2 linked regions of the Caenorhabditis elegans genome follow. The protein of the gene in region 2 purifies or fractionates together with the protein of the main gene of each other region. This does not show direct contact. Each region holds a gene or a part of one and is shown on either strand. Other genes may lie near its edges.

Evidence for each region.
Region 1: the proteins of ndc-80 (region 2) and kbp-3 purify together in Caenorhabditis elegans (affinity purification with mass spectrometry, with the first as the bait; one study listed by BioGRID). This does not show direct contact.

Annotation. Positions count from the first base shown.
Region 1 is NC_003280.10:14,388,699-14,392,045, reverse strand, and holds kbp-3 (Kinetochore-binding protein 3), read left to right. Parts: upstream 1-1,967; 5' UTR 1,968-1,980; coding exon 1,981-2,134; intron 2,135-2,189; coding exon 2,190-2,318; intron 2,319-2,361; coding exon 2,362-2,455; intron 2,456-2,720; coding exon 2,721-2,748; 3' UTR 2,749-2,810; downstream 2,811-3,347. Other genes in the region: nurf-1 (DDT domain-containing protein), read right to left, coding at 1-362, 1,034-1,326; F26H11.8 (uncharacterized protein), read right to left, coding at 3,222-3,347.
Region 2 is NC_003282.8:10,084,592-10,088,972, reverse strand, and holds ndc-80 (Kinetochore protein ndc-80), read right to left. Parts: upstream 2,837-4,381; 5' UTR 2,827-2,836; coding exon 2,714-2,826; intron 2,667-2,713; coding exon 2,264-2,666; intron 2,212-2,263; coding exon 1,924-2,211; intron 1,877-1,923; coding exon 1,517-1,876; intron 1,439-1,516; coding exon 1,335-1,438; intron 1,288-1,334; coding exon 1,159-1,287; intron 1,087-1,158; coding exon 768-1,086; intron 720-767; coding exon 663-719; 3' UTR 536-662; downstream 1-535. Other genes in the region: ttr-39 (Transthyretin-like family protein), read left to right, coding at 177-370, 413-490; col-2 (Cuticle collagen 2), read left to right, coding at 3,536-3,815, 3,863-4,381. UniProt on the Caenorhabditis elegans protein: Acts as a component of the essential kinetochore-associated ndc-80 complex, which is required for chromosome segregation in mitosis and meiosis and spindle checkpoint activity.

The sequences.
Region 1 (3,347 bases), on a different chromosome or scaffold from region 2:
TGATGCGGAGAGTTCGATGATAAGATCGGAGAATCTCGTAAATTTCAACAGCATCCATTATACTAGCCGTTGGAATCGGAATATCCTGACTAGATTCTGGTAGTTCGAGTTTTGGTAGACTTGCAGGATCTTCATCCAACCACGGACAATACTTGTTCTCCTCGTCGAGACCTTTTTCGATTTTAATATCTGTTAAATTCAACTCTTCCTCTTCCTCCTGAACAACCTGATCCTCATTTAGCATGAACTCATCGTCCGAAGATTCTTCTTCTTCTTCAGAATCCTCATCCATGTAGATAATGTCTTCTTCTTGGCGTTTTAGCGATTTGCGACGTGGTGGAGTTGGATTTTTTTTGGGTCGGCTGAAAATTGATGGAATTTATTTTTAATCTGAACAGGCAGATTTATATAGCTTCTAAATATTCTTAATTTTGCAAAATTGGGATTTTTCAGAAAAATTCCCAATTTTTTGGAAAAAAAATCCATGATTGTGAAAAAAAAATCTCAATTTTTGAGTAAAATTCCATTTTTCTGAAAACAAAATTTAATTTTTTTGCGGAACACTTTATTTTTGTTTTTCTTGATTATGCAAATTGTAGCCTCGTTTTCAGGCGTTTTTCCGCAAAACTATCATAAAAAGAATTTTGAATTTTCGATTTCTGAAAAAATGAGAAAAAATCAAGAAAACCCGAAAAATTGGCCGGAGAACGCAAGCATAGTTCCTTCGGAATTTGAATATTTGCAAAAATTCGAAACATTTTGCAGTTGTATTCGGTATTACCCAGGCGCGAAAATATGATCTCGAAACGACAAATTTTTGTACATCGCAAATGGGTTTGCATAGTTTTTCTTTAAATCTAAATAATTTGTTGTGAACGACGTGAAAAAGCGTATTATACGTTTTTTCGATTGAAAATTTGACGAAAGCGGAAATATCCTAAGAATTTGCGTTAAAACTTGAAAAAAGCATTTAATTGAAAATTATCTGAAATCAGCGGAATTTCTGAAATTATTTTTCTTCTTGATTTCTCACCCTCTAGCCTTCGAGGTACTCTTTGGTGCTGGTGTTGACGCAGGTGTAGATCTAACCGAGATCTCTTCAATCTTCACCTCCACCTCCTCGGCGTCTGATGGTGTTTCCCGTTGAGCCGCACGTTTTTTTGTTGGCGGTGGACTGTAACCGTCGTCAAAATAACGTTTCGGAAGTCGACTGCGGCGTGGACGAGATGATGATGTGGATTCTGATGGGTCTTCTGAATCGGCAATTGAAGAATTTCCGGATTCAGACGGATGCTTTCGCTTTGAACGGCCACGTGGTGGAGCCATCTGAAAAAATTTCGAAACTTTTCGAAAATCGATAAGCTTAAGAATGTTCGTCAAAAAATATTGAAAGCCTCGAAAGGAATAAATTTAAAATCAAATTAGAACACTGGTAATTGTGAAAAAGAGCTTGAAATCCAAGAAAAAAAGATTTTACGTCATCATATGGTCTTTGGAGGAAAATCAATAAAATTTGCGAGAAATGACAATCGGAATATAACATTATTAGATAAAAATACATTAAAAAAGGATCCAGGATTGGTAAACTACAGTACGAAATCTTAATTTTTGAAGCTGAAAAAATCGATAATGGGATAAAACTCATTTTCCAGCGGAAAATCGGCTTTTCTCAAGTGGAAACATAAAAAACAATGGGAAAAAAGGAAAAATAATAATTTTCCGAAATTTTCCTTCACTTTTCCGTCTAAATAATCAGTTTGGACACTTTTTTGAACGCGCCGCGCCGTAAATCGACTCAGTGCGAGAGGCACACCCTAAAGGCGCACACATTTATTTGCAATGGTCGCGACGAGACCTTGGCCCTCTTGACGCGGGAATTTGAGTTGGAATTTATCTTTGCTAATTTTGCTGTCGCATTTTTATTTATTTATCTTAGTTTTTAACCGATTTTCATTGAATTTTTGCAGGTTTTTCGGCAAAATGGAGTCACTCAACGAGTATATGGACAAGATTATTAATCGTCTTAAGGCAGTCAATGAGAAAGACGAATTAGTTGATGAAGGAATGCGGAAACTCCAAAAATGCCAGGAAAAAATTATGAAAACGAGAATCGATGCTCAAAAACATATCGATGGTAAATTTGCAAGGAAATTGTTTAGATGTGTGCATAAAACAAAACATTTGTTCAGAACGCCACGAGCAACAGTCATTCGAACAACAGCTACTGAACAAAAATATGTTTGAAACTGAGCAACTGGAAGAAAAACTAAAAAGATTGGACGATGAGAACAAAATTGGAAATGAGCGGGAATTTAACAGTAAGCTGATAGTCTTTGAAACAATTTATCTGATTTACTCCAGAAAAATTGGAAGCAATATCTGCGAAGTGGACGGATGACGTCAATCTCTTGAAAACCACGCCGAATGAGCCTAACGATGGGAATAGAAAGAAATTGTAAGGGATTTAATTAAAAATAAGTTTTGTGAAGAAACTGCTCAAAAGTTTTTAAAATCTGGACTAAAATCTTCAGTTTTGCCTACTTTACTGTGTGGCTGGCAGCAGTCGGAACTTAATGTTTATTTAATTATTATTATGCGGGCGGCACTGAAGAGCGGTAAAAATTTTGATATTTCACCACCAGACTCGTTTATATAGGTCCATTTTAAAGCTATTTAACCAAAAAATCCTTCTTTATAAACTAAACGTGTATTTTTTTCAGATCGAACCTCTCCAACATCTTGGTCTAACTCTGGTTTTCATCCACGTATCAATTATGCCTTCTTTTCATGTATATTAAATCATTTCATTTATTATATTGTTATCATCATCACATTTCAATAGTTTCCAATTGTTCCGTAGAAGGTATTAGGGAAACTCTTCTCTCTTCCGTTCGAGGAAAATTTGTTCAAAAGTTCCCAGGTGTTAGCGGAAGATTGTGGATTTTCTTGTGATGTCGTGGTTTCTACAGGAGCCGGTCTCACTCTTGCCAGGGATTCTTCAGAAGAAGAGGATGATGATGAGGAAGACGAGGACGACGACGAAGAAGACGATGAAGATGTGGAGGAGGATGGACAAGAAGCAGAAGCTCTCCGATTCAAAGTTTTCGGGCAAAATTCTCCATTTGGATTCACCTCGCAATCGTGATGAATTTTCCACGCGATGAACTTGTCCAGGTACACATTTCTATAATTGGAATTTTTCTATAATATTTGGAACATTTTTATCTCTGACAACCCGGATGCAATGGGGCCTGCCTACAATCGACGCCTTTTCTCTGTCTTCCCTGGATTTTGGATCTCGCTGCAAACTTTCTCGCAGCTTTCGGAATGCCAAGCTTCACGCAAAT
Region 2 (4,381 bases):
GGGCCACGATACACCTAGAAATATTTAAATTCAAGTGAATACCAAAACAAGAACAAATTATGATAAAACATTGTTCACTTAAAAAACAGGATCTCTCGTCTATTTTTGTGGGGACGATCCCCACAAAACCGTTATAAAACATTGCTTCAAAAAACTACAAAAAATTCAATTTTCAGTCGATCCAGACGATCTTATTGCTGAAACCCATGTAAACGAAGACGGAACTTTCGAAGTATCTGGATTTGCAATTTCAATAACTGCAATTGATCCCCAACTACGTATATATCACAATTGTCGTTCATCTTCCAAAGTTTGTCGACGCAAGATTACTTTCACTGTCCCAGACAATTATGTGAACAAGGGGATGCAGGTAATTGATGATACTTCATACTCCATCAAAATAATTTTTCAGGTGAATAAGTGGTTTGACTTAGGAGTTCCTAACATGGAAATCGGTGTGAAGCACAAAGAGGAACCACATTGTTATTAAACTTGCTTGAAACCATTTTTTGTGTAATATATTAAAGTTCGCTTTGCTGGAAATCATTGTTCATTGGCTTTTTATAAAATAAGTCTAAACCACAGAAATAAATGTTAGAGTCATTTTTTTTTTCTTTTAATGAAAGCTAGTATTATTCACAGAATGATTATGCCAAAGGAGACTAAAGAACCGCCTTTTCAATGCCAGCACATTGCACGTGGAATCCTATCTTTTTGTTCTGAAAAAATGAAAAATAGAATAGCTCAGTAAAATTGACAGGACCTACCTCAATCTCGGCGATTTCCACTACCATCAGATCCAATATTTGCCGGATTCCAGCTTCCAATTGAGATCTCTTTTGTATGTGTTCTTCTCCAGTTGCAGACATTCTGGCGGTCTCATCTTCGATTTCTTTCTCGAGGCTTCCATCAAGTTTCATTTGCTTTAGAAGTACTTCTTTTTCATTCAATAGTTGTTCATATCGTTGTTCAATATGTTTGCGAGCATCTTTCCAGCTATCACGTTCGTTTCGACGAATTCGTTCTTCGCGAGCCTCATTCTTCTTCGCTTCACAGAGTGTTTCGCTTTGAATTTGGATTCTTTCTCTGAATTATTGTTTATAAATGTGTATATTATTAACATTCAATGGAACGGCGCTTAATTCGAGTACAACTTACTCTGCGGTAACTGCTTTATTTGAAAATCTTGACTGTTCAGTCTCAAGCTCAAGCTTTCTCTGATGCAACTGTCGGCTGATCTCTGGAACCCATATCTTGTTCAACGTCTCCCAGTAATCCTTAAGATCTCTGAAAATGTAGATTTGTGAATTTTTAATAAATTGTTAGAAATTTACCTTTCATTCGTTGGAGCTCTTAGTGGTTCAAGATTCATTTGAATATTAAGTCCACTGAGAATTTTCATGATTTGTTCTGCGAGATGAATGAATTTGGACTTTTGCTGAAACATACAAATTTGATTGTCATACAAGTATTTCCGTGAATGATAGGCATTCAACTTTCCAAAAACCTAGAATACCTCTTTGAAGAAGTCTTCATCTTTGAGTTTCCATGTTTCTTTTGATAGACGATCCAACTCGCTTTGAATTTCCAGTACCACCTCCTTGTCTTTATTATTGTCAAGATTCATTTGACGCACTTCTTTTCCTGTCAATCCGTGAATTTGTTTTTGCAACTCAATTTTGTTCTTCAGATCGTCCACCATCTTTTGCACTTTTTCATTTTCTGAAATTTTCTCCTCTTGCTCCGACTTCACCATAGCCAGTTCTTTCTCCATATGCTGCTTAACATGAAGATTTTGCTCGAGATAATCTTTAGCTTTTCGGATGTCGTCTCTGATTCTTGATATCTCTTCTTTTAAGCTTGCTTCGTTTCCTTTCTGAAAATAAAACTTCTTTAAAACAAAAGTATCGAAATTCTACTTACATCAGCCTCTATCTCATCACATTCGTAATTGAGCATCTCCAGAGCTGATGCAGCTGTTTTAGTCATATCCTCGAATTCATTGGATTGCTCGAAATACTTCCGTAGACGATGCTTCGTGTCGTCCCAGTATGAAGAACTGGGATTTTCTGCTGCTTTTCGATCATTTGTATAATCTCTGAATGTACTTGTCATCCATGCATAATTGAGCGTTTTTTCTTGAGCTTTTCCCTGTTCCATGAAATCACCGAACAGGATATTTTGTGTGTCCTCACTGACAGCAGAATTGATCTAAATGGTTAAATAAATAGGGATGAAAATAATAAAAAAATCAGTTACTAACTCTAATGATATCAATAAGCCAAGAAAGTGCGTCAAGAAGATGTGGATATCCATGAGAAGATCCCATTGGTTGGTAGTAGCTGTTTTTGAGTGGATACGGGTATCCAAGACCTTTGAATATCTGGGACACCTCCTCTTCAATCCGCTCATGCCGTGGAAATTCGTAGTCTTTACTGAGATGTTGGTAAATTAATTCGAAACAAGCAATGAAATCATTCTTTCCACGAGGTTTCATAATGAGCTGTTCTGATGGTGCATCCGAGCTTTCATATTCCACAAGAAAGTTGTAAATTTTGCTTCCATTTAAGCTGACCAATGATTTCACATCTCGCGGAGCAACTGATGAATTTTTAGTATTAAACAATGACACACGAGGTTGACTCAGACTGGGGCGAGCGTCAGTTCTGCAAATTAGATTAGTTCTTCATCGCACGAAATTGGATATTTTTACTTTCTGACTGATGTTGATCCAGTATAATCGGTGAATCTTTTAGTCGGAGTGATAGCGATTGAGGCACGTCCGTTGAGATTCAAGCCGCCCGTTTTTCTTCGATCTCCAAACATTGTCAAGAAACTGTAATGAGCGAATAAAATTGACCAGAACTGAATATACTAACGGAAGGCGACGCATATAAAATTTAAAAAAATAATTCTGGCAACTATTGAGAACTTTGTTTTCCAACTTAAAGAAGAAAAAACATTTTTACAGAAATATTTATGAAAAAAAAAACGAAAATAGAAATTTGAGTAAAAACAATATCGAGAGAGAGAGAGAGAAGTCACATTTGAATTTTCCCGCTATAGCAATTGTGATTGGAGCGCACTTACATTACAGAGACGCTGCACTCGCGAGGAAACTGATTTCCGGAGATTCCAGAATGAAGGAATTGTTGGAACTTTTGAGATATAATTTCAAACACGATTAATATACAATAGAATTGAATTTTCCTACAATGGTTAGATCATTTCCAGTCGGTATATTGATAAACAGAAGTTGCCCCTTAATATTTGCATTTTTGTAATTGAAGTTTCCAGCCAATAATTACGTCAAATTTTTTTTCTTCGAGAAACTGATATAGTTTACAATAATAAACCAGTATCTTTAACCAATGGAGTGATAACACAGAACTGGATCCTCTTATTCTTTCTCTTTTCTTTCTCCTTAACAAGAACAATTATACCAGTTCCAAGTAATAGCCATGGACGTCTCTAGTATAAAAACATCAGTTCTTTTGGAATTCTTCAGTCCATCACTCACCCTCCAACAGTAATCATGGACATCGACGCTCGTATCAAAGCTTATAAATTTGTTGCCTATTCGGCAGTCACCTTCTCGGTTGTCGCCGTTGTCTCTGTTTTCATCACATTGCCAATGGTTTATAACTATGTTAATAATGTGAAGAAACAGATTCACACTGATGTTAATTTCTGCAAGGTTTCTGCTCGTGATATCTGGAGTGAGGTGCATCTTATTAAGGATGCTCCAGGAAACAATACTCGTGTTGCTCGTCAAGCTTATTCCACTGGAGGAGCTGGAGGAGGCGGAGGCGGAGGTAAGGATCTTGGTTCACAGAGTTTAAGTATTTGAATACATTTTCAGGCGGCGGAGGATGTGATGGATGCTGCAATCCTGGACCACCAGGACCAGGTGGATCTCCCGGAAAACCAGGAAAGCCAGGAAAGCCAGGAGCTCCAGGAGCCCCAGGAAATCCAGGAAAAGGAGCATCAGCTCCATGTGAGCCAGTTACTCAACCACCATGCCAACCATGCCCAGGAGGACCACCAGGACCAGCTGGTCCAGCCGGACCACCAGGACCACCGGGACCAGATGGAAACCCAGGATCACCAGCCGGACCATCAGGCCCAGGACCAGCCGGACCACCAGGACCAGCAGGACCAGCCGGAAACGACGGAGCCCCAGGAGCCCCAGGAGGACCAGGAGAACCAGGAGCATCCGAGCAAGGAGGACCAGGAGAGCCAGGACCAGCTGGACCACCAGGACCAGCCGGACCAGCCGGAAATGACGGAGCCCCAGGAACCGGAGGACCAGGACCAGCTGGACCAAAGGGACCACCAGGAGCTGCTGGAGCACCAGGAGCTGACGGAAACCCAGGAGGAC